Schizosaccharomyces pombe: one gene and its partner. The gene in region 2 interacts genetically with the main gene of each other region. Each region holds a gene or a part of one and is shown on either strand. Other genes may lie near its edges.

Region 1 (15,370 bases), on a different chromosome or scaffold from region 2:
TACAGTCGAATTTATGGATGAGATTGTTGATGAAGTATGCGGATTTTAACATTGCGAGCAAAAAAGAATTTACATGAATGTATTGTTACTAACATAGCTGTAGGTATCTATTCAGAACAAAAACCGTTTGGGAAACGTATTACTTCTCCGAGTATCTCGTTAGAATAACTGTGTTCCTAAGGCTTTACATACTCTATTACTGATGGCTATTTCACTGTACAACTTTTGTATTTTCAAATTTTTTTGATAATTGTTTGACTGTCCTTGTTTATTTGCAACAATACCTGTACTAAAAAATAACACGATGTGTATATACTCTACAACAAGGTTTCAATTACTTATCCTATAATCAGTAAGGAGAACAGTCACAAAGGTTCGTGTTACATTTGCAATTGGTATAAATCTAATTTGTGGTTAAACCAAACCGAAGTTATGACGAGCGACAGAAATAACACTTATAGTATTTCAAATATCATTTGCTCCCTTGTGAGAAAGTTCTCAATAGAAAAGTTGTTTAGCATCCACTAGATCAAAGTCATTTCAACGGAGGACGTTGATAGTTATTCTAGTTTTTTGATGAATGCAAATGTAGATGTTAATTTACAAACTCAGAAAAAAATTTGAATGTTACGTAGCTAGGTATTAAAGCTGGATAGCGTCAAATTTTTTGCAAAAAAAACAAAACAAAAATTAGAGGACTGAACAGACAGCAACGGCAATAAATTATGCAACATAAAAATAATGAATTTAGCAAATTTTATGAATCAAACAAATGGTAGCAGCTAATTTGACACAGTAGAGAAAAGTGTGTACGAGCTTTCAACGTGAAAACGCATCATTTCGTTACAAATTTTTTTGCGACAAAGGTCGAGACAATTGATTCAGTGGATGGGGAGGTCAACGAACGAAATGCGAATCGCCGTAGATCTATCACATAAAGAAATATTCTCATAAATCCCAAACACAGAACAGGTATACCTTTAGTTTGCCAGGGTAATCTGACTAAGTAGTGAAAGGTTGCATCATTTCATCACCAAGGTTCAAATGAGTAAGTGAAAATTTCAAACGTAGAAGAATGCACAATAGGCAAGAGAAAATTTGAAAGTGGAGAAATCCAGCAAAGGCCTGGATTAATGTTAGTCCCGTCGACAAATATTGTTCAAAAAGAATGAGTAAATATATCACAGCTCTTTTCAGACGCCATACCTCGCCAACATGATATAGAATCCTAGCATTAAATGTTATATTAGTTATTTTTAGAAGATTCCAGGAGAATCAACATGTCTGATGGATTATGGTTGTCATTTTTTGCAGGAAAACTGTCCTTTGATTGATGGCCTTTTCGGGTCTAAACATCGGGTGCAAATTGCTAAAATAACCGAGGTATTATAACCTAAGGTCTAAAAAATCTTTGCTGATGATTTCCACATAGGTAACGAACACGTAGAAAATGATTTCTCTTGCCCATCAAACTCACCACATGTAAAGTTCAACGCTATCATGGAAGCCATTCATTCCATCATTCAAATACCTACGGAATCAGAATTTAGAAGGATTTTATGAGTGCATGTCTTAAAAAGTCCATTTATTAAGCAGTCCGCAAAATAACCTGAAAAATCGTTCAACCTGTCTCCAATGCAAATTCCATCATATGAACTGGCGCAAATCATACTAATAGGTGGACATAAGGTAACAACCCCGGAATTGGAAAGGTCGAACAACACGATAAGGATCATCATAAGCGATTCAGGAGACTGTTATTTCATACAGGGTCATCCGTACTCAATGTCGAACCACAAATTTATAAATCGAATACACCAGATTCATTGTTGAGACCACTATGAAATAAACAGACTAAGACTTAATACCAACACAGTAGAGCTAGAAATAAAAAAAGCAGCACGGAACATCGTTTGCATTAGTTAATGTAACGTGTAGTGACATCTTCAGTAATGACAAAATAGGCTTACGATGGTCAAAGTGGAACAGCCGAAAGACAGGGAAAGTAAGGAGTCAAAGCTGTAACATAGGTGAATTGTTAGTAGTGAAAGTGTTGAATTATTGAACGAAAAAACGCTCAAACAAACCAGTAGGCGTTGATTGATAAGAGTATCAGGGAAAATACATTTCCTATAAGATAAATAGTCTAGTTTGTAGGCTTACTTGGTATGAAAAATTCAGTAGGTGAAAGTGTGAAATCAGTGGTAGAATTTTGCCGTAATGTGCTGTCGTGGACGCCATGATATGTTGGTTAACATTGAAGAGAACTCGCCAATTGGGATGTTCAAAAGGCAGGGTTGCATTTAGCCGAATGCATAAAAAAGTATTACTTCTTCTCACGGAGCGGACATATTGAGAGATATGGGTTTTTTGTTAAGTTGGTGGGAAAAGGTGTATGGGAGTAATTGAGTTAACCCGGTAAGGAATTTTTTTTCGCAGTTTTTAATTTTCAACTAGTTTCATCATCAAACAAGCTAGTTAACCATTATAGCCAGATATGTGGCTAACCCTGTCATTGTTTACATTGCGACTGCTGGAAATTTTTTGTTTGTGGTGTTTCTCAATGCCGCCTGTATCCGGGTTTGGAAAAATGGGACACATCAGAATGCTTCAGATGTTGCAATTAGCAACTCACATACTATCCTCATCGCAGGATTTGCGCGTTGCTAATTGCAAATTACTAACACAGCTAAAGATTTTGTTTTCAATTGCAAAACATGTTTGCCGATCCCGGAAAACTAGTTTTTACTAGCAAGGTTCAGTCATTCCATCTCAGCACTTTCTCAGGATCAAACCAATAAGGAAAAAAAGCAAGCCACATTAATACATAATTCGGATCTACACATTTCCAACGAATCACATAATTTGTAATGTCTCAAACTGAATCAACGCAACGAAAAATTTCTGTTTGCAATTCATATAAAGTTCCAACAGTACCACTCCCCACCTAGGTAACCCATGTCGCAGCCAAATAAAGAGCTATGCATGTCGGTGGTACATGTTCGTGTCCTGTTTCATCATTACAACGACCTCAACGTCAAATGTGCTACTAGATAACAAACGCTGGGCTACATAACCTCGCTAACAGAGGTACACTAGAAAAACATTGACCAAGTTGCGAAATAACACCCCACATCCCCTAAATCTTTATTAAGATCATGTGCATAAAAAGGCCTCGACACCACAATTGGGAAGGGGATAATTGGGGTCGGAAAACGAGATTCTTTTATTTATACGAGCGTATTCCTATAAGCAAGTGACTTGCCTGCTTTGTTCAAAGTCGTGAGACACCTATAAGTTTGGGGGGAACGGCATGAGAGTAATGCTTGTGTGTAGTAGCGTATAAGTTAAAAACTTTCTTCGTTTGGAAAGTTTGAATCACCATTAGATTCCTCAACGGTCACTACACTCACGAGGAGAGAAAAGACACTTACTTGTTCGTTGACCATTACATTAATCAAGCCTCTTCGTATGTCTCAAATACAGCATTCCAGAAAAAATACACCAGTGCTATTCTGGTGTTTAATTGTCTTTATTGGATTGACGTAGGGAAAAGCATAAAATTTTTTTTCACCATATTAGCGAGGAAACCATGAAATCTATAAAAATGTATCCCAAACACTTTTGCAATTTTTGCTTGTTTTTGTGATCGTTAAGACTGTCATTTTTCCCGCTTAAAAAGGCTCAAAAAGTGTTTATTGATTATATGAAATTTTGGACTTGTTCGACCCATGATGGAGGGAAAGCTCTTGAAAGCTAGAAAAAATTGGTACTCGACTTTTCTAGTGCTTGCTCTGATTCCTATAATTCTATTTGAGACAATTGAAATGATATAATGATCAAAAAGGTTTTGTTGAACAATAAAAAGCAAAAAATTGCTTTCCATGTGTTAAAAGAAGCCGAGAAGGCTGCGAAAATTTAGTCGGACCTTTTCAGTTTTCGCGTGTATATTTACACTCTTTGAGACAATCGGAGTTCTAAAAAAGGACCAAATTTATAGACTACTTGCATTGTATCACTTAAATCAAAAATTCGCTCCCTCGTTCTCTGTGCTAACCGTTCATAAGAAGTTCATCTTTTTCCTGCTATACCTATAAAGATTAGACGATGCTTATTCTCATGGATATCCGCAGCCCTTCCAAATCAGCATGCAAACATCCACTACCCTTACCATTCTTTTGAATCGCTTGCCTTTTAAACGAGTATTGAGATGGAATAATATTCTCTACATGCTCGCTTCTGCGTCCTGATATTTGAAATGATTTGTTGGATTATTCTGAGACTTCTTATTACAATTGGATACTTTAGAAGTATCCAATTAATTTGTTTTAGAAAAAGTGATAATCATTTGGGAGTTGTGCTATTATAAAAGAAAGAGATTCTTTGCTTAGTGTTGTGCTCTAAGCAAATTGAAAAAGCTGAAATGGCCAGGGGCTGCTAGTTTCTTGTATGCAGCAAAGTTGCACCACCTTATGCGAGATTTACTGACTTTCCGATCGGAATTTTTAGGAACACTTTGGTCTCGATTATCGCTATCTTTGTAACTGTCTAACAAACATTTCTGTTTTTTTAACAAGGTTGCGACAATTCTTTTTGCATTGGTTGCATTCCTGTTGACCAATGCATTTACTTTTTCGCGCAAAATCTAAATCCGAGTATTGTAAATTCACTTGCTAAGCCGTTGTCTATTGTTTTTATTCGCATTAAATTTGCAGTTTAATTGCCTTATATCCCTAATTTGCGTCTTTTAGTAAGACCCACGCCATTCTTTTTGCAATATTTTATTTTCTATTTTCGTTCCCATTAAATAATGTTAAACTGCCCTACGAAATTTCCAATTTGTTTTCCCAGCATCCAGATGCCTCTACTTAATACTTTTATCACCTTTCGTCAGTTGTTTTGTACCTGAAAGACATAGCCTTACGTTACTTGTGATCATCTTTTTGGTAATTATCCCACAGGGTAAAAAGTTTGCATAATTGTCGCTTTACGACAATTTATTACTTTTGTTTGTTCTGGAAGTCTTTATAATTGTTCTAAGTTAAGCCGGTGGTCGCAACAGACGTTTTAATTGGATAATGCGAGGTTTTATTCCCAAAATACAAACAGACTTGTCTGTCATAAAATAAGTTAAAATGATTTGTCAAATAGAGGATCAATTCTCAAATATTTGCCAAATCAGTCTCTAATTTATTTGAAGTGAGAAACTTGATTGCCTATGTCAGCATCCCACGATGGTCATTTTTGATACAGCGACTGAGTTTTATGCGGTTGATTCATGTTCCATCGTTTGCATAACATTGGTAATCTTTTATATCTTCTTCATCTTCTTATACTAAAGAATTTCATTTATTTGTTTGGATGTCCTAAGCCACGTATATAATAATATGTTACAGAAACTCAGGTTTCTGTTAACATAATTTCGCATGAAGCCAAATTCCTATTCCACCTTCTTTGAAGAGTGCTACCATGCTCATTCCGCCATATAAAATTAGCTGCTGCATTACTCCCCTGCATCTTACCTTTGAAGCTGGACGGTTATCGCTACGCTACACTTACACACCGACATACTAACAAACACTTAAACATTACTCTGTAAAACTACACGGAAAGTTCGAATTTCTCATGTTATTGTTGAAAACTGTAATTAGGGGTTTGAAAAAGGTTCTGTGAATCGTCAAACGTTCTTGATTAAAAAGGAGAAACCGTGAAAAATCTAGCAAAAAATCGAGTCAAACACACGAAAATAAACCATGTATAACCTTGAAAACGAATGAGAAACGTCTAATTAGAAATTAGCGGCTCCAAAAAAAAATTTGAATGCGAACATAAAGGTTGGTCCGCGAATGTTACATGTTGGTGAATTAATTAATGAAGTGGAAGGAGGTGGTTAAAACAAAATCACGAAAAAACTTAGTCCACTTGAATAGACAAAATGCGTGCCTGAATAAATAAGTGATAAACTGCCCGCAGTTTGCAAATAAATATTTAAACCGAAAATCACCATCTTGAATTCATAACAGGGAGGATCCAAAATACCGAAGATGGAAGTTAACAAAGTTAAACCATTGGCACATCTGAAATGTTCAGGTATTTGTATTTGCTAGCGTCTGAAATCATGCTAGGTTTGTAGTTCACATTGAATCCATAAGCTATCGGTAGGTGTCCATTTTATTGAACAACATTCCAAACTTCAATTATTGCTAGGTCAGTAATTTCGTTCGCGTAATTCAACTATAACGATAAATTGATAGACCTAGTATTAACAATTGTTTACTGGAATGCGATGTAAGTCAAATTAAAAAAATGGGCATCGCACAGCTTGGCAGTAAACTATTGGTGCTTGGATTGCTCCAAATCATATGCAGTTTGAGTAAGAAAACGATTGTAAGGATTTGATCGAGATGTATGCCAACTAAAATTATTACTTGTATACGATTCATTAGATCCAGGGAGGACACATGATGAAGACATTTGAAAGGGAGATTGACTTCTATGATATTCTTTAGTATTTGACATCACTGAGTGAATGTGGACTAATGGAAGCTACGTCTTGGAAGGATGATTCAGCTTCTTGATTCGTTAAGGAAGGAGAGCGATCATATGCCAAAAATGGAGTATTCGCAATGGTATGTTGAGAAGTCTCACAACTGCTACCCGAATACGCAGTAGGCGGAATAGGTGAGCCTTGTTTAACATCAAACATCTCAGGCGTTAGCTGTGGATTTGGATGTTCATAGAGAAAAGGAGGGCAAGCCGGGTTACCAGGAGAGACATTTTTTAAGGTGTATTGATTAGGTGAAGAAAGATAACTTGCTGGAGGCATAAGGACCTTCTGATCATAGGTGGACTGGTCTTGTTGCAGTACATGAGTACCCAGATAAGTTGGAACTTGTTTCAAAGAAGGAGACGTAGCTCTTTGTGGATAGTAGTAAGGAGCGAAGTGCGTTTGCCTACGATGACCAGGAAAGCCGTTATCACTAGGGTACGGAGAATGATGTTGCAATGGAACTGTAGCACCCGGAGACACAGGAGATTGGAAACAATAGGGCGGTGGATAGTTATTGTTATGAAAATGAGGATGAGGTGGATGATGAGGAGGACGAGTATGGGGATGATGATGTTGTGTGGGAGGAAATGGAGGACAAGAACGAACGTGATTAGACGATAAAGGCTCGGGACGACAGTAAGACTGAACTTGAGGATTATAGTCCTGAACAGTCGTTTCCGATGTTGCAGGAGAATCACCAGTGTCGAGTTGGGAGTCTGATAAAGGTTGGTCCTGTGACTTCAAATGCTTATTATTAAGAGGAGTAAATGAACCAGTTGTCGTTTCTGGAGACACGGTACTTGACTCTTCGACAGGCGATGACGAAAAATGAGAACGGTTTTTTAACTCATATATGCTGAGAGTGTTGAGTTGTTGAAGAGTACGTTGATAGTCAGAGGAACAAAAGACGTGCAAACGTCCTTTCCGATCAATGACTGTGACGGCGACTTCACAATCGGCTAGCACAGCGAGTTCATACGCCTTTTTGTAGAGACCTTGTTTTCGTTTGACAAAAGTTACGCTCCTTGAACGATCGTCGGTTATGGGTGCAATGGAGATTTTTTTGCGCCCCATATTAGACGTTGTATATATTTAGTAAGGTTTGACGAGAAAAGAGAAAAAGAGTCGACGAGGTTAACCAAAATTCAGGTATAGGGAGAATGACGAAAACAAACGAGCAAACGAGCGAGCAAACGGGCAAGTATATAAGGAACAAATAGAAAACAGCAGATGGGGTTTATTCTTGGAATTTATGTAACAGTTTTTATCCCTGTCTTCCCTTCTCTGCACCGGATCTCTTGAGGGTAGATTTTTCGCTTGAGAAAACAAGAGCGCAAAGTTCTCCAATTGTGCTCGTAATTGATAGTCGATTAGACGAATCTAAGTTGAGATTTAAAAACGAGGAAGCTATTTTTGTTTTTGTACTCTGGGTTGAAGCGGGCGACGAAACTAAAGATATTAATAGAAAAAATTTTTTTAGTAAACAAGATAGCCGGAACGGGTGGTTTTCAAGTGTTTACAAATGAGAGGAACAAAGACAAATTAAATGACTAGATGTTTTTGTGTGCTATTTTTAAAATAGAAAGAGGAAGAATCAACACTTTGGAGAAATTTTTGCCTTTGAAGCTATATTTTTAACAATTGTCCCCTCCTTTTCAATGTCAGGTTTAAAAATATCTTCTCGCCAAGTTTTATAAATAAATTAATCTGTCTCAACAACTTGAAATTATAAAATTAGGTATTTGTTTGTTGTCTGTGTGCGTTTATAAGTGCGTGTAAATACGTGTTTTTGTACATATATATGTGTATATATATACAGGGATAGCAATAACTAGGAAACCGCAACGTCTATTTAATGCAACCTTCGTAATACACACTGCGTTCTAACTTAGACAAGTATCGACGCCAGCATCGTAACATACCATTGTACATATTTATGCAAAAGAAAATAAATTCCAATAGTGAACGAAAAAAATTTTCTCTTTCCCTCCATAGGCAATTGTTAAGGGATAGGTTTTTCCTGCATAAGTACACCAAAATTAGGGGCTAAATGTCTTCCATTCACGTTTATCCGAAGATGCGTAGCACTTTGCCAACATTACCGATGAATTCTCAATATACAAACGCGTATAAGTGTACATTATGTTCCTCATGTAGACATTCTGAAAATTCACCGTTTCGGCTACTCGGGTAATTTAAACTATTTCTTCATCTCTCTTTTCGAAAAGGGGAGGTCACAAGGCCGAATACTTTTTCATGAAAAAGGTGGGATAGCCTCGATTAAATGAGCCCTAAGTAGGAAAATCCTTTAATTGGAGGAGGAAGATGGACATAATGGAAAGAAGGTTAGAAGGTACCTTTTGAGTATGGTTAAAGTCCACTTGGATTGCAAACCTGACTTTGCAGTAATAGTAGAAAAAAATAGAAAGAAAGCGGGATTAGCAATTATTAGGAAAGAATCATAGTAATCCCATGCACCTAATCCAAGGTTTTGGAAAGGGGATTTTATTTTTAGACGCGATAGTCAGGCAAAGCGTATGGGCCAGCCAAAATACTTGGCAAGGCTAAAGAAAGAATCGAAGAGATAGAAAGATACGAAAATTCGGAATGCGCTGATGATCGCGTTTAGGGATTTTCGTATGTAATCCTTCACTTTTCAACCAGTCAGTCAATTGGAAACGCTGACCCTATTACTGATGCAGTGTACGATACTCAATTCAAAGGGGAAAGGGGGAGGAGGGCGTGAAGGAACAATATTACGAGTGTTGTCTCCGCTCCTTGACTATACTTAGACACACAAGTCCGAAAATAGACTCGCTCTGATTTTGCTTTTCGTAACTTGCTCTATTAATAAATGTATCCGGTAAGAATGGGGTACAATACGAATACAGTACATTGGGAAAAAATAACCAGAGAGGTAGCTTATGAGTAATTTGATTTCGCAATGAATCGACCGTTACGACCTGCTTATACTTTAGTATAGCTAGACGAAGTAGTTTGGATTAGACTTTAGGAGTAGTCCTATCTGGCGACTGACATACTTTCGTTGCGATATAGTTTACGTGCGCAACCATTCGCGAGGAGGCTGAATATTGACTTGAGCCTCGTTATTGCTTATACCACTCATTCAAAGTCGTCTACACTCGTGCTAACACTGCATCCGCCTATCATTTTCAGCACTTGTTACGAAAAGGCAAACCATTCGATGTTTCTCATCTACCTCTCTACATGATTGCTTAGGAGTACGGGAAGGAATTGGGGGAAACTAGGGTTGAACGATGAACTTGACAAATTCTCATCATTTTTAATCGGTCGTTAAGTGTTACGATTGGGGCAACATGTTTTAAACTGTTAGTCAGTGAGTAGAGAGGAGAGTCAACGATGATGTGAATGCATGCCATGACTCATGGAAACAGTGAGAATTTTGGAAATCAAAAAACATCATCGCCACAATCCATCTCTGTCCGCCGTCCCTTTACCTTTGTTTTAATGGACAGCCTCAGTAGTGCTGACTCACGAAATTGACGTGTGCAGCGACTGCTTACCTTGTCCTTCCTTCCTTTCTTCCTCCTTACCTGGGGTATGCCGAATTAGCTTAATCAAGCTAGTGGGACATAAAGGACTTTGATTATGGACTTTTGCCGTATCGGTACTTGAAGCCCGTAAAAGGGCATCTGTCTCGGAACTTTCCGTGGCTCCATGTATAAGAAAACACACATTTGTTTATTTTGTGCACTATATGATGTTTGTCCATATATACCCGTGTAAGCGACAAATCGAATTATGCACAGCTTTGTCTTACATCTATTCGTACTACCCCGTATTACATACCCCGTCTTACATGGTCTACCAAAAGTATGGCTTTATCTCTTAACAGATTCTTTGTTTTCTGTCAGAAAACATTTTTTTTGTTGATATCTGAAAACAGTTTTAACGGAAAACATCATTATTTTTTCTTCGCATTATCGGCCCGTCTAAACATCGGTAGAACCGAGCTTCAAACCAAAACCCCCCATATTAAATGGAATGTGCAGAATACTCCCAGCTTCAAGACAAAATGACTAACGAAATTTTCGAATGTTAAGTACGGATTACTTTTTTTCGGCTAGCACGGGATACATGCAACTCTGGCTGACCTTAAATTCAGTTCTGTACCGTAGCGATAGCATACTACCGAATTAACTTCTTAATCTACGCTTTAGCGAACCCTTCGACGAACTGACCTCGTTAACCCATCCAAGACAGTCTATCTATTCCACCATTTTTAGGATTGCGCTTCTGTAAAGTGTTGAACTTAATCCAAATAAATACCATTTGTTTCAGCACGATTTCAGGATAAATGTGGGCAAACAGCTTAAGGTTTTTAGATTTAAGCTAATTTTTCCTGTTAGCAAAAAAAGAGGCAGTGGTGCTAGAATACCCGAAGGCCGTTTGTCTAAATATGCTATAATTAAAACCAAAAACCATTTTCCTTATGGCTTTTACCACTTCATCTTAATGACCCAAATGCTTTATCTCTTATCTCGGAGAAAAAGTCTTGTATTTTGAATCAATCATGAAAAAGTCAAATATCGTGCTTTTATTTCTGCCTAAATTTCTCGATTCTGACAAAATTAAAAAATATTCCTGTTAGTCGGTCTCATTCAAAATGTTAAGATAACATATCATTTCCCGGTACCCTATTTTATTTTACCGAAAGTCATTCCATTTTAGTAAAGGATTTACCGAAAAAAATCAATGCAACCTGTGGAATACATATTTTGTTGTTTTGATGGAATAAGATTGGGAAACGACTAGCAGCCCTACATTTTTGTTTTATGTCCTGTGAACGTCGGTTGTCCAGAACATTCAACTATCAATTTCTCGCCGTATACTAAAATAGAAAACTTGCTGCAGCGCACCAGTTTAAACAGCTCGGTGGTATAGCTTTCCCTTAGATTAGTTGTTTTTTTTTTTTTAGCAACAATACAGTCAATGCATGGCAATTTTTATTTGCTTTTCAATTTGAGTTTAATAGCATTTAATTAGCTATTTTTCATTCGATGCTATTCTTCTTTATGCAATTCTCGTTTCGAATGCTATAGGCAGTCAAAAAGCACATGGCATATCAATCCAATAGTTAATAAATCGATGCTTAATTTGGTGGAGAAGAATGGTTTAACACAATTGTATGAAATTACTGTAAGAGACATTAAACGGAATCGTAATTACTTTTAAACTAAATATGCCATTCCTCGATACCACCTTTTACCGCCGTCGTAGAACGGCAAATCGATACTTCGCAAAATTCTAAGCATGGTGCAAATGAATTTCCATCTCCATTACGAAATAACTTAGGCTCTTTATAAGGGATCTTCATTAAATGTTATTTTTTTTTACTAAATATTAGCCATGTAACCAGTGGTTTGTTGAGTATACGCTCTCCAAAGTAAAAACAATTTCCTTGTTAAGTCTTCGTATCCTCAGTAATAGTTATAGAATACAAACACAGGTTTTGAGCGTAAAACAACTCCTACTGCAGTGTCTACAAAAAAAAGGGGGTTTTAATGGTTCCCTTAAATGTATTTTTTCCCTGTTAATATGGGAGTACATATTACAGTTTGAAATTGCAACAGCAACATGACGCCCATGTGCTCCTTGCAACATTAACAAACCTCGATTTCCCTTAATAGAATTCTACAGCTCCGGTTTTCCCAGTAAATAGAACTATTTGAATCATGTTTGAAAGGCAGTTATCCAGTTTCCTTGACAGTATAATTTAGTCGGCAAATAGTATTTTTTCGGGTTGATGAAAAGCTAGTTTTGTCAATATTATCCTTTCAAAAGCGAAAATCCACCCCAATTATTCTTTTTTTAGGACCCAGTAGATATATTTTGCGAATCCTTATAATTAGAGAGATATATTGGCTAGTTCCATAAAATCCTATAGCTGTAGTTGCGAAACTATCGGGAATCGAACAACTTTCTGGAGAAGTTGTTTCACTTCAGATTCAAAAAAAAAAAAAAAATCAAGTCGGACATTAAAAGTGTACGGTCTGGAAACAGAAACTCAAATCCATTATTTAGCCTAACCGCGGGTTACTATCAGGCATTGCTAACCAAGTGTAATACCAAGTTCTGCAAAGTAACGAAAGCAGCTGGGAAAAGCATACGCGAAACAGGGAACAAAGAAATTTATTTATATTGTTTCTTCACAAACCATTCTGATGAATGCTGCCCGAAATCGCCTAGCCCCCATTTCTTTCAACTTTGGTCTTAAAGGAGTATTCATCCGAAAAGTTGCAACGTACGATCCTTCTTTTATTTTCCTGACTTGTGAGCTCACCTGATTGAGATATGCAAAGCGGTACAACAAATCATACTGTCGGTTCATTAATCAAGCATGTCAGACGACTTAAATTCAGCCACGTTCCAGATCAGTAAGTTACTTGTACAAGGATTTCTTTTCATACTTTAAAGACTCTTCAAGCGCACGAAAATGGAATCGAAAACGTTGGCAGCACATTAATATAATCAAAAGGACTCAGTTAGTATTAGCCGATTTGCTGCGTTATGTTGCTTCTGAATGAAAGTACAAGAAACTGGAGGCTAATTTATAATGAAGAAACTCTCACAACGTAATATAATTTATTTGATGTGAGTTTTTTCACCGATATACTTTGGCCTCCGCAATAAACTTAAGTAGAAAAATTAGATGTCGATAATAGTGTTATAGTGCTCTTATGCATATATCTTACTAAAGCATCGTGGTGTTCAAACACTATTAAAACAGGAGGCACTGGATCAAGTACCTAAAAACAAAGGATTTCATAACACTTGAACTCGTCACTCCTGAATGTTTAATTCGCGCCAAATACCACTATATTGAAGTTGAAATAAACCAGCCATAGATTCAATTTTTCCCTTATACTTTCTCAAATGTATAGAATAGATTCCAAATGAAAGTAAAGCAGAAAAAGCATGTTGGAGTATCAAACTAAGAGTTTATTTAAAAATAAACTTTGTAGAATACCAAACCAAAGTTCGTAAAAGGCGTGACATGGTCTTTCCGAACAAAGCAGAGTTATTGTTCGAAAAGAAGTATTACTTCCAGACATTAACTTGTTTACTTCGCTATTGCTCGTAATAATCAATTATTTATAATTATATTATGATACTCTTTTATTGTAATATATATACCACGGTGACTGCTTTTTGAGAGTGCTTCAGTGTTTGGGCTTGTTCTAGTTGATATACTTTTGTACTTACCAGCAGCTTCCGGAAAATGTCTCTCGTTGTTCCTGATAATGTAAGTAAATATTATAATTTCTGTTTCAACACCTTTCCCTATTATTATTGCGTTTAAATTGCATTTTTATAGCAGCTTTTTTGGGCAAAGATACTCAAGTGTGAAATTATTAAAATAATTCGTTTTCCTCTGATGTGATATTAACATTATAGTTTCAACACATTCTCCGTCTCCTCAACACTAACGTTGATGGCAAGGTAAAGGTCATGTTTGCCATGACCCAAATCAAGGGTGTTGGTCGCCGTTATGCCAACATTGTTTGCAAGAAGGCCGATATTGACATGTCTAAGCGTGCTGGTGAGCTTACCACTGAAGAGTTGGAGCGTATTGTTACCATTATTCAAAACCCTTCCCAGTTCAAGATTCCTTCTTGGTTCCTTAACCGTCAAAAGGATATCAACGATGGCAAGTCATTCCAATTACTTGCCAACAATGTTGACAGTAAGCTTCGTGAGGATCTTGAGCGCCTTAAGAAGATCCAAACCCACCGTGGTCTTCGTCACGCTCTCGACCTTCGTGTTCGTGGTCAACACACTAAGACTACTGGACGTCGCGGTAAGACCGTTGGTGTCTCTAAGAAGAAGTAAAATAAGTAAAATGATTAGCCTAATATTACTTGGATAATAAATTTCCATTATTCTTGCAAATTATAGTTTTCTGATTCTTTAAAACATCTTGCTTTATTTTGTATATTGAAAAAAATTAGGTGGATTTGTGATTTCTCATCAAATATTACACTACAATTTATTCTGATATAGAAATATATAAAAAACAGTAAATATTATTCAACATATTCAACCAACATGATTGATACTGACGCATCGACCTAAGAACCTTTATTATAACCCTACCTGAAACCACAGAAAATTAGACTTCTAATATAATTATTTGAAACGAGATAAATCCAAACTTTTAACTTCGCGCTTCAATACTCGTTGTTTTTTACTTTGTGGCACTGGTGCTTTTACATTTTCTTGAACGTAAAATTCGCGCATTAACATCACAGCTTCAGAGTAAAATAACCCTGGATAAACTGGATAGCTCGGATCAATAGATTGGCTGTCATAAATCGTAAGCAAAAACGAACTGATAAATTCACATACTCCTTGTTAATGGAAAATACGCTTCCACATCCGCCAAACCTATCGTTGCCGCATCCAAAATACACGGCTTTTATGTGAAGCTGTTTTAATGCAGCAGCACACATTAGACACGGTTCAACAGTCACGTATAAAGTGGTTTCTTTGAAAACAGATGCTGGGTAGTGTTCTAAAATTTTTTCTATAGCGATAAGTTCAGCATGTCGAATCCCCTTTATCATCGTCAGCAAAGGCATATTAAAATAAGGCTTACCGAGAGGCTGCAGTTAGTTTCATTAAAACCACGGCCTATTACTTCTCCTTTATATACAAAGACGCAACTACCGGGACTTCTCGGTTGGATAACGAAGTACGGGCCTAAATTTAGGACTTTTAGTTGTTAATATGTAGGAAATTGAGCTTACCATTTCATGCGCCAACTTCATATATGTT
Region 2 (18,037 bases):
TACTCAATACGAAAGAGCTTTTTGCGGTAGAAATGGCAGAAGAAGGAGTGAATGAAGAGCTGCTTGACGATTGCCTTGAACTGACACTGCTAGTAGTAGTAGAAGTAGACGAAGCAGGAGTATAGCTCGAGCTCGAGCTGCTACCGCTAGAAGTGGAAGCCGTTTTAATTTCAGTGCCACTAGAAGTGGAAGCTGTCTTAACTTCGGTAGAGTTATTAGGTATGCTACTAAGCGAAGAGCTAGTAATAAACGAGGTGGTAAACGTACTAGGGAAAGAAGTAGTTGGGGGCGGAGTACTAACCGTAGAACTCGAAGTAGTAACGTTACTATAGAATGAAGAACTTTCGCTAGCAAAACTGGTAGACGAAGTGGCAGTAGAACTACTAGATGTACTAATACTGGTTGAAGAAGTAAAAGTAGTAGAGGTACGGTTGGTCGACGTCAAAGGAATCGAGGTACTGCTAGTAACTTTAGAAGTGGAAGTTCCTGTGATGGGTGTAGTGCTGTTCCAACTAACTTGAGTGGAAGAACTAGATGTAGAGTTCGGACTGGTGATAGGAGTACTGGTATAAAGGACACTAGTACTGGTAGTACAATTCGTAGTTGTGACAGGAGTGCTAGTGACAGGAGTACTGGAGCTAATAGTATAGTTCGAACTGGTAACAGGAGTACTGGTATAAGGGACACTAGTACTGGTAGTACAATTCGTAGTTGCGAGAGGGGTGCTAGTGACAGGAGTACTGGTATAAAGGACACTAGTACTGGTAGTACAATTCGTAGTTGTGACAGGAGTGCTAGTGACAGGAGTACTGGAGCTAATAGTATAGTTCGAACTGGTAACAGGAGTACTGGTATAAGGGACACTAGTACTGGTAGTACAATTCGTAGTTGTGAGAGGGGTGCTAGTGACAGGAGTACTGGTATAAGGGATACTAGTACTGGTAGTACAATTCGTAGTTGTGAGAGGGGTGCTAGTGACAGGAGTACTGGTATAAGGGACACTAGTACTGGTAGTACAATTCGTAGTTGCGAGAGGGGTGCTAGTGACAGGAGTACTGGTATAAGGGACACTAGTACTGGTAGTACAATTCGTAGTTGTGAGAGGAGTGCTACTGCTGGTTGGAGGAACAGTAGGAGTAACCGGAGTAGTGCTATTTCCAGTAGGTGGGATGCTAGTACTGGTAGTGCAGCTAGTGCTAGTTGAGAGAAGAGGGCTACTGCTGGTGCCGGTACTAGAAGTACTAGCAGGAGGAGGTGGAGTGCTAGTGCTTGAAGTACTGGTTGGGGGAACAGTAGGAGTAACGGGAGTAGTGCTATTTCCAGTAGGTGGGATGCTAGTACTGGTAGTGCAGCTAGTGCTAGTTGAGGGTAGAGGGCTGCTGCTGGTGCCGGTACTAGAAGTACTAGCAGGAGGAGGTGGAGTGCTAGTGCTTGAAGTACTGGTTGGGGGAACAGTAGGAGTAACGGGAGTAGTGCTATTTCCAGTAGGTGGGATACTAGTACTGGTAGTGCAGCTAGTGCTAGTTGTCGGTAGAGGGCTACTGTTAGTGTCGGTACTAGAAGTACTAGTAGGTGGAATTGGAATGCTAGTACTGGAAGTACTAGTAGGAGGAACAGTGGGAGTGATAGGAGTACTCAAGCTCGAGCTACCTCCTGTAGGGATACTAGTACTAGTAGTGCAACTAGTGCTAGTTGTCGGTAGAGGGCTACTGTTAGTGTCGGTACTAGAAGTACTAGTAGGTGGAATTGGAATGCTAGTACTGGAAGTACTAGTAGGAGGAACAGTGGGAGTGATAGGAGTACTCAAGCTCGAGCTACCTCCTGTAGGTGGGATACTAGTACTAGTAGTGCAACTAGTGCTAGTTGTCGGTAGAGGGTTACTGTTAGTGTCGGTACTAGAAGTACTAGTAGGTGGAATTGGAATGCTAGTACTGGAAGTACTAGTAGGAGGAACAGTGGGAGTGATAGGAGTACTCAAGCTCGAGCTACCTCCTGTAGGTGGGATACTAGTACTAGTAGTGCAACTAGTGCTAGTTGAGGGTAGAGGGCTACTACTACTGCCAGTCGTAGAAGCACTGCTAGTACTTGAAGTACTTTCTGTAATTATGGGAGTAGAGGCACTAGTATCAGTTGTGCAGCTAGTAGATGTAATTTCGACGGGAGATCCCGTGGACAAAGAAGCATTAAGATCTTCGTTTCTTTTTAAAAGATCGGCGTAATTAATGGATGTTGCTACAAAGTCATGGTAGATATCTTGTACCTCATTAGCACTTAATGAAGCTTCGTTTGCGAGTCCGCAGGATGCTGCTGCTGGAGCAAGATGCTGTGCAAGCAATAAAAGAGTCGAAATAAAGAAGCGATTCATTTGAGGTAAAAACTTCAAAAAGGTTTAAAATGGTATATTCGATGTCAAGAATTAAAGCTGGAAGAGAACAGACAATTCCTTTACGATATAAAAAAAAGGGAAGAATGCTTCACAGGTTGAAATTAAATCGATTCAATAACTCTTTTAAAGATTGTAAACGGTGTGGAAAGAATGAATACAAAAGATATTAAAGAAACGATCAAAAGTAATTACGGATATAAAGAAAGAAGCAATCCGAAAAATAAACCAGCGTTCTACTAATAATGAGAAAGCTGTATATGTTAAAGACCGAAAATTTTCCAAAAAAATTCAAAAATGAAGGCGAACACACGAGGAAAAAGAATAATGAATGGAACCAAGTGCTAAAGATTAAAAAATTGTGACGAGTAAAGAAAGCAAAACTTTTCACAGAAAAATATGTCTGTATTAAAAGTTGTCACAGAATTAGGATTATCTGCCAACAATTATCGAAATTAACATTCACGGAGTTTGTCCAAAAACCAATGTTTTCCAAAGCAGACGAAGTGCTATGGGTCTATTGAATATAAAAGATTGGATGGATTGCAAATATAAGTAAACAATCGATTAAAGATATTCCAAAAAAAAGTCCACACCCAACAGGACTGATAATTAGTAGCTTAGTAGCTTTCTACTCTCGTTTCAAACGAATTTGATCAAGCAGCAAAGTTGCACCTATTAAAAGCACACAAGTAGACAACCTTTCTGTAATGAAAAAGAGTACAACAGCAATTGAATTAATGGAGTACACTTCAAGATTGTGTTACCACGAGTGTATGAATCTTGACTATCGTACAAGTTCACAGAAAATCTAACCAAGTGTTGAAAAGCAAGTGCAATAAGCCAAAGGTAAGCTAACTAAGCCGAAATTTATCACAATGGGATGGAGGAAAACACACCACAAAAGTGCCTGCGCCATCCGTTTTAAAGGTTTTTCTAAGGCGAATTCATTTCATAAACCCCTTGGACATTTCAAACCTCAACTATGTAATTTTTGATTAACCGTGTGCAGTGTCCCTCCGGGTATCCAGAAGTTCTAATGAATCAAATGTTTCAAACGAACAATCCACGACATCGATGAAGCATCCGCAGCGTTCGTGACGACAATCTCCACCCTTTCCCGTACATTTCACAGGATTCCATTACAACGAAAAGTGTTTCACAGGCAAAATCTGAATTGCAGCTACGTTTATCATCGACGTATATGACAGGTTAAGTCATAGTGCTTCTAATTTTAATTCAATGGCGTAAAATCAAGTTGAAATTTTGGTGGTAACCGGTCTAAATTATTTTCCGCCTTGCAATTTGTAAACCCATCTCTAAATATAGAGCCCACGTTGTGGGAGTTGATTTGCTAAGCATATCATACTGCACGGTTATTGAACACAGCTTCCCAATTTCAGTGGACAGAGATCAAGTAGAGGTTTTAAAGTCAAATTTCATACAGACAAAAAGGTCAAGATACTTAGCTTAAAATCGGATATATGGCTACCATTAGAGGAATCACACATCATTACTAAATTTTTCATATATAGGAGAAATAAATGGACATTGAATTACTGTTGTAGCTGTAGGCAATACCCCACAAAATCCTTACTAGAAAAAAAGAAAGGAAAAGAGAAACCCCAAAACAAATTGTAGAACGGAAAAGCCAGGACATACTTACCAATTCGTTTTGGGAATGAATAACTAAATATATCAATAACACAGGGCTTAAAATACTTACCGGGGATAAATGCATGCTCAGGATCAATGGTCTAAAAATATTGCAAGGGGGTTGACTGATTACTTCATTCATCCTCCTGTCCACATTCCACCCGAAAAAGTAAGAAGAGATAAAACGGCTGAGGCCAAACACCGATTCTATAGATACATGACATAAAACCCCCGTAGCAGAAAACACCCAACCAGAAAACAAAATTCAAAGTCAACAATCACCAACATGAAGGCGTAACTAAAAATAATGGAAACAAATAAGACATGAACCTAAAATGCAAGATGCAAAGAGGCTGCATCAATTTTGATATCAAAAGCGACCGAAGCTGCCCATGATACGTTTTCAAATAAAATTCAGAATGGACACAAAAAGTATTTATTCTTTACATTCCAAATCACCTTAAGCAACCAACAAAATTACCGCGGCAATCATCAATCCATTCAATCCCATTGATACGCTGGCTTTTGAGGAGGCGGCCGACGTCGTACTAGAGCTGGATGAGGAGCTAGAAGTGTAAGAAGTGCTGCTTGAAGTAGAAGCAGTCTTTACATCGTCATCAGAACCAGATGTGGCGGTAGTGTTGCTGACAGTTTGGAAACCAGAGCTCAAGTACGTAGATGTGAAGGTGGTGGGATCGATAGTAGTAAGGTCACCGGTGGTAATTGTTACGTTGCCAGTAATGGTAGCGGTAACATTCGATACAATGGTGGAGTTGCTACTGTTCCAGATAGAAGTGGTGTTCATACCTTGAGTAGTGTTGCTATAACTAGGATATCCTGAGCCACCTGGACCTGGGGTAAAGCTAGTAGTAGGAGGAGCGCTAACACTGCTACTTGGGTTACCTGGGTTAACAGGGATGATGGTGGTAGTACCGCCGATTATGGTAGTAGTGAAGGAGAAGGTACTGGTGAATGTGGTAGGCTCAGTGTAAGTAGCAGTACCCTCGGTCGTTTCAGTTCCGGTAGTAACGGTTGGTTCGTTGGTAGGAGCAGCTGTTGGGTTACCGCCGCCAGTTCCACTTGCAGTGGTGGGTTCAATGGTAGAAGTTATAATCTCAGTAGTTTCAAATGTCGAAGTTTCAGTAACTTCGGTAACACCAGTCGTGGTTCCAGTACCGGTGGAAGTAACGGAGCTTCCAGTACTAGTGGTAGGAACGACACTGCCCTGAGAGGAACTTCCAGTGGGACGAGTACCGGTTGCAGAACCAGAAGTAGAACCAAAGGTTTCAGTAGGGATGATGCTGCTAGTCAAAGTAGAGCTCAATCTGCTAAAGGTAGAAGATCCACTTGAAGGATAAGCGCTAGAATTGCTCAAAGGAGTGGAAACACTGCTAGTGGGTAAGCCGGATGTAGTATTGAAACCAGAGGAAGTGAAGGTGCTAGTAGGAGCAACGGTGGAGTTGCTCAAAGGAGTGGAAGCACTGCTAGTTGGCAAGCCGGAAGTAGTGTTGAAACCTGATGAAGTGAAGGTGCTAGTGGGTACAATACTAGAGTTACTTGAAGGAGTGGAAGCACTGCTAGTAGGCAAGCCGGAAGTAGTGTTGAAACCAGAGGAAGTGAAGGTGCTAGTAGGAGCAACGGTGGAGTTGCTCAATGGAGTGGAAGCACTGCTAGTTGGCAAGCCGGAAGTAGTGTTGAAACCTGATGAAGTGAAGGTGCTAGTGGGAGCAACGGTGGAGTTGCTCAATGGAGTAGAGGTAGGAGTGGTGACACTTCCACTAACATCCCCATTTCCACTATTCGTGTTGGTAAATTCACCAGTTGAGCCAGAAGCAGAAGAGGTGATGGTAGAGTTACCGAAGGGAGTGGAACTAGCAGAAGTGGCAGTGGTACTGTTGACACTGGTCAAAGGAGTAGAGCTAGCAGAGGTGGCAGTAGTGCTATTGGCACTGCTCAAAGGAGTGGAGCTAACTGAGCTAGTAGGCAAAACTGAGCTGGTGTTGTAGCTGGGGGCAGTGGAACTAACAGAAGTGCTAGTGGTACTGTTGGCGCTGGTCAAAGGAGTGGAACTAGCAGAAGTGGCGGAGGTGCTATTGACACTAGTCAAAGGAGTAGAACTAGCAGAAGTGGCAGTGGTACTGTTGACACTGGTCAAAGGAGTAGAGCTAGCAGAGGTGGCAGTAGTGCTGTTAACGCTGCTCAGAGGAGTAGAGCTAGCAGAGGTGGCAGTAGTGCTGTTAACGCTGCTCAGAGGAGTAGAGCTAGCAGAGGTGGCAGTAGTGCTATTGGCACTGCTCAAAGGAGTGGAGCTAACTGAGCTAGTAGGCAAAACTGAGCTGGTGTTGTAGCTGGGGGCAGTGGAACTAACAGAAGTGCTAGTGGTACTGTTGGCGCTGGTCAAAGGAGTGGAACTAGCAGAAGTGGCGGAGGTGCTATTGACACTAGTCAAAGGAGTAGAACTAGCAGAAGTGGCAGTGGTACTGTTGACACTGGTCAAAGGAGTAGAGCTAGCAGAGGTGGCAGTAGTGCTGTTAACGCTACTCAGAGGAGTAGAGCTAGTAGAGGTGGCAGTAGTGCTGTTGGCACTGCTCACGCTGCTCAAAGGGGTAGAGCTAGCAGAAGTGGTAGTGGTACTGTTGACACTGGTCAAAGGAGTGGAACTAGCAGAAGTGGCAGTAGTGCTGTTGGCGCTGCTCAAAGGAGTAGAGCTAGGAGTGCTACTAGGCAAAAGTGAACTGGTGTTGTACTGGGCGGAGCTGGAAGTTGCAGAAGCGCTAGTGGCCGCAGTAGTACTGTTCGACGAAGTCAAAGGAGTAGAGCTGGAGACGGTTGAACTTATGCTTGAGCTAGTAGCGGTAGCAGAGGTAGTCGAGTTCAAAGAACTAGAAGCCAAACTGGAGCTAGTAGCAGAGTTGGAAGCAGCGGTCGAGGACAGGCTGGAGCTAGTAGCGGTAGCAGAGGTAGTCGAGTTCAAAGAACTAGAAGCCAAACTAGAGCTAGTAGCAGAGTTGGAAGCAGCGGTCGAGGACAGGCTGGAGCTAGTAGCAGAGCTAGTAGGGGTAGCGGAAGTAGTAGAGTTTGTAGAGCTAGAAGCCAAAGAGGAGCTAGTAGTAGAACTGGAAGCCAAAGAGGAGCTAGTAATAGAACTAGAAGCCAAAGAGGAGCTAGTAATAGAACTAGAAGCCAAAGAGGAGCTAGTAGTAGAACTAGAAGCCAAAGAAGAGCTAGTAGCAGAGCTAGAAGTCAAGGACGAGCTAGTTGGGGAAGCTGAAGTAGTAGAGTTTGTAGAGCTTGAAGCCAAAGAAGAACTAGAAGTCAAGGAGGAGCTAGCAGCAGAGCTTGAGGTCAAAGAAGAGCTAGAAGCACTGCTGGTGTTGTAGTTGTAACTGGTGGTAGCTCTCTTAAGGAGAGTAGGCACCGAAGAAAGATAAGTGGCAGGGGTATAACCGTGGACTATATCATCCGCCAAAATAGTTGGAGTATTAGCGGGATCGCTCAAAGACGCCGAGACACCCGAATTAAGGGACTGAGCAGCCAAAAGAAAGAGAGTGGAAGCAGTGAAAAACTTCATTGTAATTAGTGAAAAATTGAAAAAAAAATATAATTAAAGTTTGAAGAGTTCCAAGATAGATATAGCTATATATGATTAGATACCAAGAGAGATAGAAAAAGCAAGTCGAAATTTCAAGAAGAAAGAAATAGACGTCGTTGAAAAAACGATAGCAAATGCTTTATATATGGGGTTTCAAAAAAGAATGAAAGCGGTGGGATTAACCGATGAAAGAATTAAAAAATATGATTCCGTATTAAAATAAGAATTCAATAGGCAAAAAACTTTCAAGACTTTTTGAAAGTACTTGCGATTAAGAAAAAGATCGATTTAACAACGGGAAAAGTAAAATCGATGGTTTAAAAAAGAATATAAGATGATAGAGACAGATATCGATTGGGATATAAAAATTCAATCAAGAATGCTCAAAAGAAGATATCTGGGTTTAAGAAAAGAAGACAAAAAAATATTAAAGACTGACTAGATAGAAAAAGTCTTTGTCAAAAAGAGAAAAGAAATTATAGTAGGACAAAAAAGATATAAATCTCCCAAAAAAACAAAATTTATAAAAAAAAATATACCGGACGAAAGGAATCGTCGTAAAACAGCAGTGAATGTTTTGCTTGAATCGAGATTCTTTATTCCAAACCTTTTTTCAAATTAACAGTAATTCAGCAAACTCACCAAGAGACACACTGAACAACGAAAAATAAAAAAAAAAGACGGGGAAAAAAAGGAGAGGAAAGGAAGAAAAAGGAGAAGACAAGACAAACTGCAAAAAAGAAAATGAGTTTGCAAAAGGACGAATCTGCAATTTCAACTAAATTCTATCAAAAAAAAATGAATGAATAGAATATAGAGTAGAGTAGTTATAAAAATGGAAAGGAAAGGAAAGGAAAATCGCGAGTTTCCCAAAAACAAATGAATTTCGTTAAAACCAAACGAAAACGTTTGTTAAAGGTATAGGGAAAGGGAAAGAGCAAAAACCTGGGGGCGGGTTCGCACTTATTAAAAAAAAAAAAATAAGTAAAAATGACACTCGGCAAAAAGACGAGGCACTCACACACAGACAAACTACTAGGACGGCGAAGAGCGCGCACCCTTAAAGATATATGGCAACGGGGATCGGCAAATTCTGGCTTCCCTGGAATTCCGAAGGCTTGAAAAACTGTAACATGCGCCAAGTTATCTTGGTCTTATACACCAAATCCACCAGTCGAATGATCGCAGCATAGCATTAAGCAGCATCCAACATGACGTGCGCGCACACCATATCCATCCAACAGACAAACCAAAGCGGCCAGTCTGGAACGAGAAGCGCATGAAGCTACAAATCAACATCCACCAATCGCTAACGACAATCTAGCTTTGAGGAAACAAACACTCAGGGATAGAAGGGAAATGCACAATCGAGATCCTAGTGTTATGGCCGTTGATTGGTCCATGTTCCGTCCCATTTGAGAATGCAATAAAGGACATGGATGCTAATAAGATACATGATTGGTGGAATATTAAGTTAAAGATATCTAGACATTCGTTGCGATAAGGATCAACTACGCCATGCAATGCAGTATGAACTCATGTCGCACCATACCGAAGTATGGAAGCATGTGTGTTTACGCCTGACATCCCTTGGTAGTCTCGTGTGTCGGTGTAAGAGGGACGAGAGGGTAGTTTGATCAGGGATGTCAAGGAGATGCTTGTGTCTACAGAGGCGAAAAAAAAAATTAAAATGAAGTGAAGTGAAAAGAAAAGAAAAAAAAGAGAACAAAGAAAAATAAAAAAAGAAACAAAAGAAAGGTACGACATTGGAATCGTATGGATGAATAAAGATCGCAATGTGAAACCGTCTACAATGAGAAAAAAAAAAAAAAAAAAAAAAAAACCAATAAAAAAATGCTTCTATGGTAAATGTATGATGATGATGGTATGGGAGTTTAAGACGGCGGAATTGACTACTGACCAATGTATGTGAGAAAAGAAAAACAAACGCATGCAAAGTAGCGAAAATGAACGAATACAAGAGAGGAAAGAAGAAAGAACAAACGAAAAAAAGACGAAAAAACAACGATTCAAAAGACGAAAACAACGATGCAAAAAAAAACATTCCTGTCATATACTATAGGGAAAGAAATATCAACTATATTGGAAAAGATGATATGTATGATACAAATGACATACTAAATGATATGAAAATGCAAATGTATGATGCCTTTTCTTTTTTTGTTTGAGTCCGTTTGACCATTGATGATGTTTTGCCAGTAGTAAAACAATTGTATGGCATTTCATGATAACTTGAAAGATAGATAGATAGGTAGTGACACTTCTCTCCTCTCTCAATTGGCATTTTTCTCGACTTTCCGCTTTCTTCCTTTCTCAACAAGTCTGTGAGCTATTTGTTGCTCTTCCATACATGCCACCATACGATTTGTTGCTACGAGGGATTTTTTAGTGAGATGCGACGATGAAGGGGTATGGGAATCTTTTTTTTTCTTTTTTTTCTCTTTTCCACATGACTCATCCAACCTGGGCTGGAGAAGTTAACGATGGACAAAAGTGCTCCGTCACTATCGAAGTTGACCAAGGAGAATTTTTTCACACGACTCCGTTAAGGCCGGTAAAGAGATTGTATGTTATAGTATAGGCAAAAACATTGGAAGAGCACAAACAATGAGGGAGAGAAAAAAAGAGTAAGAAAAAAAATTTAGGTAAGAAATTGATAAGGATGAGTTAAGAGAACGCCAATTTGATAAAAGAAGAGAGAATATGAGTCAGCTTTTACGTAGAGTCAACTTTTACACAGAGTCAACTTTTAACGCAGTATTATTTTTTGAATCACAAATATCTGCATCTTTTTTTTTTCTTCTCTTTCTCTTTCTCTTCCCCCCTTTGCACAACAGTGACAAGAATCATGCTTGTAGACGTGTTAATCGCCTGTTTGCCACAAACATGATCTCGTTTTCATTTTCGTTGTCCCCTTTCTTTGTAATCACATTTCTCTCTTGATTGCTGACCCTAATTGTGAAAAACAACATCCCTGGTACTTTGCCGATTCCGTTTGTGCACTACACACAAACGATGGGTTTTAGCTGTTATTCTCACGGTACAAAGAGCTCCACCATAGCCTAGCATTTACAAAATAGAATACACTACCGAAGTAGAACACAGAGCCGAAATAGAACGCAGCACCGAAATAGAACGAAGCACCGAAATTGCTTTGTGTCGTAGAACGAGCTAGTTTCCTTCTCGTTCATTAGCGATACGGAAACGATAGTAGAATACAATACGAAAAATAGTGTAACCGAGCACAGTGCATCTAATTATGGAATAGTATAGGACAACGAGGATGCGTAAAAGAAAAAGAAATCCAAGCGTAGTCTAGGCAAGGACAATGGCAATGCAAAGAAAATAACGTAGACGGTCGATTTCGGAATTCCGGCTAGTGTAAAACACGGCTAACGTGAATAGCAAATTAACAAATTAAAAAAAAAAAAAAAAAGGAAAAAAAAAAAAATCCCCCACCGAAATGAAATGAATCGAAAGTAGAGAACTTGGCAAACAAAAGATTGAATTAAGAGTCAAATAGAAAATTGAAACGATGAATTGAATAGAAAAAAAAAAGAAAAGAAAAAAGAAAAAAGGAGATGTAATGATTTAAAAAATTAAAATTGAAATGAAATTGAACGTTTGCTTTCGCATTTGCAATTTCCTTTTCCAATTCTCATTGGAATTCTTTTCCATCTCTTCTCTCCATTCCATCTCCTCTCTTCATTCCATATCTCTCTCTCTCTCTCTCTTTTTTCTTGTGGCTATCCTCTACAATATATATATTTACTTGTTCCGTTCTAAAAAAAAACCTAAACGTATTCTCTTCGCCATTCCTCCCCTCTGTCCTCTCTGCTCCCCTTGTTTCTTTTTTGGCACATCCTCCATGTTGCTATAAAAACATGCACAAGTTTAAACAAAGAAACGTTTCCCATCCATATCTATTTTTAAAAGGACCTCCTCCCTATTCTCCTGCCATCTTGCCTCTCCATCCAATCCCTCTCGTTCTCATTCCTCCGACAATCCAGTACCGACGGTTTCCGTAAGACTGGCAATCTTAATTTCCAACTTTTTCCTTAACGAACCAATCAATAGCGTAAAAGCCTATCATCCTCGTCATAATTCCTGGATCACCTGGCCGTCGTGCCGCCGTAACGAATAATCTCCACAATTTTTCATAGACCTTTGCTTTAACATTGGACAAGGCTTTTAGTGTCAGCCAATCAGCGCTGTAAAGGCTTCATGCATCGCTTATCATTGCTAATGTTGATTTGAGGCTTTCCATCCAGCCCATGTAAGCGCGAGTTAGAGTTAAAGGGTGTTTTTCTTTCGGTAGCTTGGTTAAAAAACACATACAGAGTAAAATGAGTAAAATGAATGAAATGAGTGAAATGAATAAAACTGAGACATTCATCAAAATTGAGAGAAATTGCTGACGCTTGCGTAGATGTCGCAAACTCAAGAAAAATGATGGATTTCTTTGTTGAATGTTATCATCAAGCTTAAAACGAACAAAGCTGGATTTCTTTGTTTTGTTTTCTGATAAGCCATCAGGAATGGTAGATTATGAATTCATTGTATTGCACAGCCATAGCCATTACAATTGCGATTACTTGGTTATTAGATAAAGAAAGAAATTCCAAGGATTCCTTTTTTTTTTTTTTTTTTTTTGCTTTTTTTCTTAAAACAAAGGAAAACGGATAGGTTAAAAGTATCCTTATTGATGAAAAGATAGATAGATTAATTAATTGATTGTAATCAAAATACACTTTTTTAGTTTCTTTCTCTCTCTTTTTTACGTATAGAAAAAAAAGTCAAAGCAATTCTCTTATTGTTTGCTTCACGCTACATTTTTATTTATTATACTTTTTCCGTCCTGTTTATATTTTATATAAATTAATAATTACCAAAAATATTCAAAAAACATTACAAACATGATTTTAATGAACGGTAGCAAAAATAAAAATAAATATAGATAAAAAAAAAAAATATATATATATATATATTTAAAATAAAAAAAAAAATAAAAAAAAAATAAAAGAAAATTAATATTGATATTAAAAAATTCAAACGAAATATTAAATTTTTAAAATGAATATTGATTTTTTGCCAAATTGAATAATAAATTTCAATACAATTACACTCTTATGAATTATAAGAAATCACACTTAAATGAAACTACATTCATCTAGCTTGCGATTTAACGATGCATTGCGATTTTTGTAGTATAACATTAATATTGTCAGCATTACTACACTACGTTAAGTATCACTATATGTCATATGTTGGACAGTTAGTGATAACACTACTACAAATATTATAATAGAGCTACAACTGAACCTCATTCCTCAATTCGGTTATGAGCTATATCGGTGACCGATACTAATAGATTTTATATACCAATAAATGTACATTGTTAGTTAACATACCGCATACCGCTATATTGTAGGTCGCAAGTAAAACTCACTTCAGTTCTATGTATCGTTAAACAGATACCAAACTGCGCAGCTGACATTACCATGTCACTAACGTATATTATTATTCATTTAACGATACATTGTGACGTGATAATTTAGCATTGCATACCCTAAAGCAAGTACATAAACCAGTACTCACAACTATCCGTCAAATACGATCCTTTTAATATTCCTGTAAGCTACGCAGTTTGGTATCTGATTTAAGGATACGTAGAACTGCGGTGAGTTTTCCTTGTGATCTATTATATTACGATACACAGGTTGTATAAGTAGCAACTGAGTATAGGTATTGTATTAACTGGGTTATAATGTTACCTATCACTAATATAGCTCATAACTGAACTGAGGAACGAGGTTCAGCAGTAGCTCTATTTATAGTATTCAGATAATATTGATCTTAATAGATTATCATTAAGATCAATCTCCATATCGTATCATACATGGTACGATATATAATTAGAACATGTGACATATAGTGATACTCAACGTAGTGTATTATAGCGTAGTGTAGTATTGCTGACATTGCCCTCCCCAAGATTTTCTATGTAAATCTGAGGATAAGTCATATGTTCTCAGATATTTAGATTATTGTTTTTAATATAATCATTGACAATTGCTTTGTCCGCTTGTAGCGCTGTAGCTAATGTAGTCCATCCTGACATAATAGTACTCGGATTTAGATTCGAAATGTACTTGACATTTAAGTAGAGTACTTGTTCTCTGTTTTTATGTTCTAGGATATGAAGAATTGTTCCAATATCAGACTCATCAATGGTAGCGTAATTGAGTTCTGAATTATGTCGATACTTTTCTAGGTGAGAAACATGAAAAGTAGATGAAAACATGTGCTTGATTGAATCTGGAAGATCCAATTCATAGTTGTTTGGACCCGACTTCTGTAACACATAGAACGGTCCTGCAAAACTAGGTGCTAATTTATTGGATTTATGAAGAAAACCTGTTTTCGTTCTTTTGACCATAACTAGGTCTCCAGGTTGAAATTCTTCAATTTCTTGTATTTTCATATCGAAATACTTTTTCATCTTTATGTTGTTTGTATTCAAGTGTTCTTTAACTGTTTGAAATACTTGGATCGTTTCCTGAGAGTTTTCGTCAGTTTTGTCACTAAAGCTAGGTAACTCTAAAGGTGATAAAGCTGGTGAATAGCGATGTACTATCTCAAAAGGTGTCATTTGAGTTGCTGAATGTATCGCATTGTTGTAAGATTGTTGCACTAGGGATATATGATCTACCCATGTATTTGGATGTGTGCTACATACACATCTTAGTAATTTCTCCACAGTTTGGTTTGTACGCTCAGTTTGTCCATCAGTTTGTGGTCTGTATGGTAACGAAAATTTCATAACGAAATTATATTTATGTGCGAAATCTTTCCACGTTTGGGAAGTAAAAATATGATCATTATCTGCAATGATTTCTTTTGGATTGCCGAAATAAGCAATAACTCGTTGATCAAACATTCGAGCTGTTTGCTCTGCTGTAATGGATTTCGTACAAGGTACTAAGATTGCCATTTTTGAAAATCGGTCAACTACCACGAAAAGTGCATTATAACCAGATGATTCTGGTAAAGCTGTAATAAAATCCATTGATAAAGATTCCCAAGGTCTTTCTGATGGGGGAATTGGTTGTAAAGGTCCATAAGGTTTATGATTCCTAGATTTGTTTATTTGACATGTATGGCAGTTCTGTACATATTCTTGTATTTGTTTTCTTATTCCTTTCCACGTAAATCTACGTAATATAATGTTTGTAAGAAGTTCAATGCCTGGATGAATCAATTTACCTTCTTCATGATACTTTTTAATAATTGTCCTAGTCAGCTGAGTATCATTAGGTAATAAGATTTGGTCTTTACTGTTAATTAGTAAGCCATCTTTGAGTTGGATATTCTCTTCCACTCGTTTGTCTTCATTGTTTAGTAAATTCAACAATTTTGTATCATTCGTATATTCTGTAACCACTTGGTTTTTAAAATCATCGGTTATCGAGATTTGATTAACAAAGTTGATACTATTGTCTTCTGAATCTTTTGGAATTGGTTCTGTTTCGTCAACAATTCTGGATAAGGCATCAGCTATGTGATTTGCTGATCCAGGTCTGTAGTTAATTTCAAAGTTGAAGTCTTGTAAAAATAATTGCCAACGAGCTAAACGTTTGTTTTCAGGCTCGGATTCGTTAGTAATGCGACCAATTAAGTTTCGATGGTCTGTTAAAATTTTGAAAGGTTCGATAGTGGATTCTAAATAGTGTCTCCAATGTTTGAGAGACTTAATGATTGCAAGCATTTCTTTGTCCGATACGCTATAATTTAATTGTGCTTTAGACATCTTTGCTGAATAGTATCCAACAGGATAGTATTTATCATCATCATGTTTTTGAGACAATACGGCTCCTACAGCGACATCTGAAGCATCAGTTTCCAGTAGAATCTTTTTACTGAAATCAAAGTGTCGTAGCACCGGAGGAGAAACTAAACATTGTTTAATGTTTTCTATCGCTTGGGTTTGTGTTGGTGTCCATTTCCAGCGTACATCCTTTTTCAAAAGATTATTGAGTGGATGTGTTAATTGTGATGTCTTTGGAATGAATTTCCTAAGATAATTGACAGAACCTAGAAATTGTCGTAATTCTTTACGATTCTTAGGTTGCTTCCATTGTAAGACTTTGTCTATATTTTCTTGACAAGGCGTAAATCCTTTTTCCGAAATGTGATACCCTATAAATTTTACTTGTGATTGGTGAAATTCACATTTTGCTTGATTGATAATTAAGTTCGCATTTTTCAATTTCTGTAGAACGTCTTTAACATGTTTTACATGTTCAGATTCCGATTTTGAATGAATTAAAATATCATCCATATAACATACTACATGTGATTCTTTGGCTTCACCAAGTATTGTATTGATAAAGTATTGAAAATGTGCTGGAGCTGTAGATATGCCATAAGGCATTACTAGATATTCAAAAACTCCACGAGGACAGCGAAAAGCAAGTTTATGTTCATCTCCTTTTCTTACTCGTATCAAGTGATAGGCACTTTTGAGGTCAAGTTTAGTAAAAATTGTAGAACCTTGTATTTTAGCAAGTAATTGTTCAATAAGTGGTAACGGATATATATTGGGTTTGACATACTTATTTAAAGGTTTGTAGTCAACCACCATTCTCAAGGTGCCTTCCTTTTTCGGAACGAACATTACTGGACAGGCGTTAATGGCTTTAGATTCTCGTATAATTCCACTTTTTAATCCTTGATTAATTTCATCATTCATAGCTTGCATTTTTCCCGGTGGTAGCGGGTAATTTCTGATAGGTAATCTGTAGTTTTCTTGAGTTAGTTCAACTTCAAATTCTAACCCTTTTATTGGCTTTGGTAGCTTTTCCGTATTGGTTTCTGCAGTAATGTCTTTGAATTCTTTATAGATATCTGGTAACTCAGGTTCCTTGACAATATTTGAAACTTTGTTCATTTGAGAGAGCGTGTGTTTACTGCTAGATATTTCAATGTTATTGTCATATAATGTTGTGAAGGAGATAGCAGCTGGATGCGAAAATTTCTTTACAACCAAGAATTCTGTTTTGATTGATATTCCATTTAGACTTATGTTAAGTTTTATTGTTTTGCGATTAATCTTATTTGGATAAACTCCACCATATATCACACTTTTTGACCAGGGTCTGGTAGGCAGTTTATGTGCTCGAACAGTTTCTTCTGTTATAATATTTGCTTGAGCGCCCGTATCGATTAGACAGGGTATTGAGCACTTGAAGTCTGGAAGTTCAGCTTGTAATACCATTTCGTAACGTTTCCTAGTATGATTTAGGAATTTGTTAGATGAGTATTCTATTCTCGAAACATTTGTCTTCCTCAGGTTTCTGCTATTAGTGGTGTTATTTTTCTTTGAAAGGGACTCTTTTCCTAGATTTTTATTTTGCGGTTGAAAACGCTTGTGAGTTTTACCATACGAGGCTGTTCTTTTGTCCTCTAAAAAGTCATAAATTTCACTGATTTCTGATTTCCAGTAATTTCTTTCCTTTAATTTCCTTAAGGAATATGGCAGCATCCATAATATAAACAAGCGAGTATGGAAATCATCAACATTTGCTTTTGACATGAGTTTCCTTATAAATTGAACTTTGTCCAATTGATTTCTAAAACCTTCAAATGTTTTAGTTAAACGATCACCTTTGTTGGATCCTTGTACTTTCCCTGTTTGTCTGAGTAATTCTTGCCATGTAAGACTTCCATTCTCAGAAAACATGCGTTCAGCGAATTGTTGCTCTAATTCTTCTAGGTGATTCAATGTATACTGTCTTTTAGTATGCTCATTTGGGAATAATGAAGGGTATTCAGTAAAGTGTTGATCAAGTTTTGAAATGTAACTTTCAACATCCTTATTTGGATCGAATTTCCCTATCTCTGGTACATGCTTCGATAATATTTTTGCAAAAAGGTTTATTAAATGTTCGTCTGATGTTTGAATTCCATCCAAATTCTCTGGTCTCCATCGTTTTGCTCTTGCTTTCATATAACGATAATTTGCGTAGGACATTGTATATGTTTCCCTTTGGGAGATTTCAAAAGGGATAACAGTCCTTCCAAAGTTCCTTCTCCTTTGAACCCAGAAGGAGAGAAATATATATATTTATGATATATATTTATTCAATAATTCCTTTTTCCTAAAAGGAGTTAATTGTAGATCACAAGAGTTCAGTTATTGTAAGCTACGCAGTTTGGTATCTGATTTAAGGATACGTAGAACTGCGGTGAGTTTTCCTTGTGATCTATTATATTACGATACACAGGTTGTATAAGTAGCAACTGAGTATAGGTATTGTATTAACTGGGTTATAATGTTACCTATCACTAATATAGCTCATAACTGAACTGAGGAACGAGGTTCA

The links.
Region 1: of pfl2 (region 2) and mbx2, changing one suppresses a phenotype caused by changing the other (phenotypic suppression), as found in Schizosaccharomyces pombe (one study listed by BioGRID).

What each region holds. Positions count from the first base shown.
Region 1 is NC_003423.3:3,618,893-3,634,262, reverse strand, and holds mbx2 (MADS-box transcription factor), read right to left. Parts: upstream 7,625-15,370; coding exon 6,506-7,624; 3' UTR 5,605-6,505; downstream 1-5,604. Other genes in the region: Rnase P/MRP subunit Pop7, read left to right, coding at 1-34, 104-163; SPOM_SPBP8B7.32 (uncharacterized protein), read right to left, coding at 3,662-3,886; rps1801 (40S ribosomal protein uS13), read left to right, coding at 13,815-13,838, 13,991-14,425. UniProt on the Schizosaccharomyces pombe protein: Acts in transcription regulation. May bind to a MEF2-like typee II promoter sequence.
Region 2 is NC_003424.3:3,982,740-4,000,776, forward strand, and holds pfl2 (protein Pfl2), read right to left. Parts: upstream 8,674-18,037; 5' UTR 7,611-8,673; coding exon 4,500-7,610; 3' UTR 4,294-4,499; downstream 1-4,293. Other genes in the region: SPOM_SPAPB18E9.04C (uncharacterized protein), read right to left, coding at 1-2,365; SPOM_SPAPB18E9.05C (uncharacterized protein), read right to left, coding at 3,909-4,181; SPOM_SPAPB15E9.02C (uncharacterized protein), read right to left, coding at 9,139-9,705; SPOM_SPAPB15E9.06 (uncharacterized protein), read left to right, coding at 11,263-11,532; Tf2-5 (retrotransposable element/transposon Tf2-type), read right to left, coding at 13,684-17,685.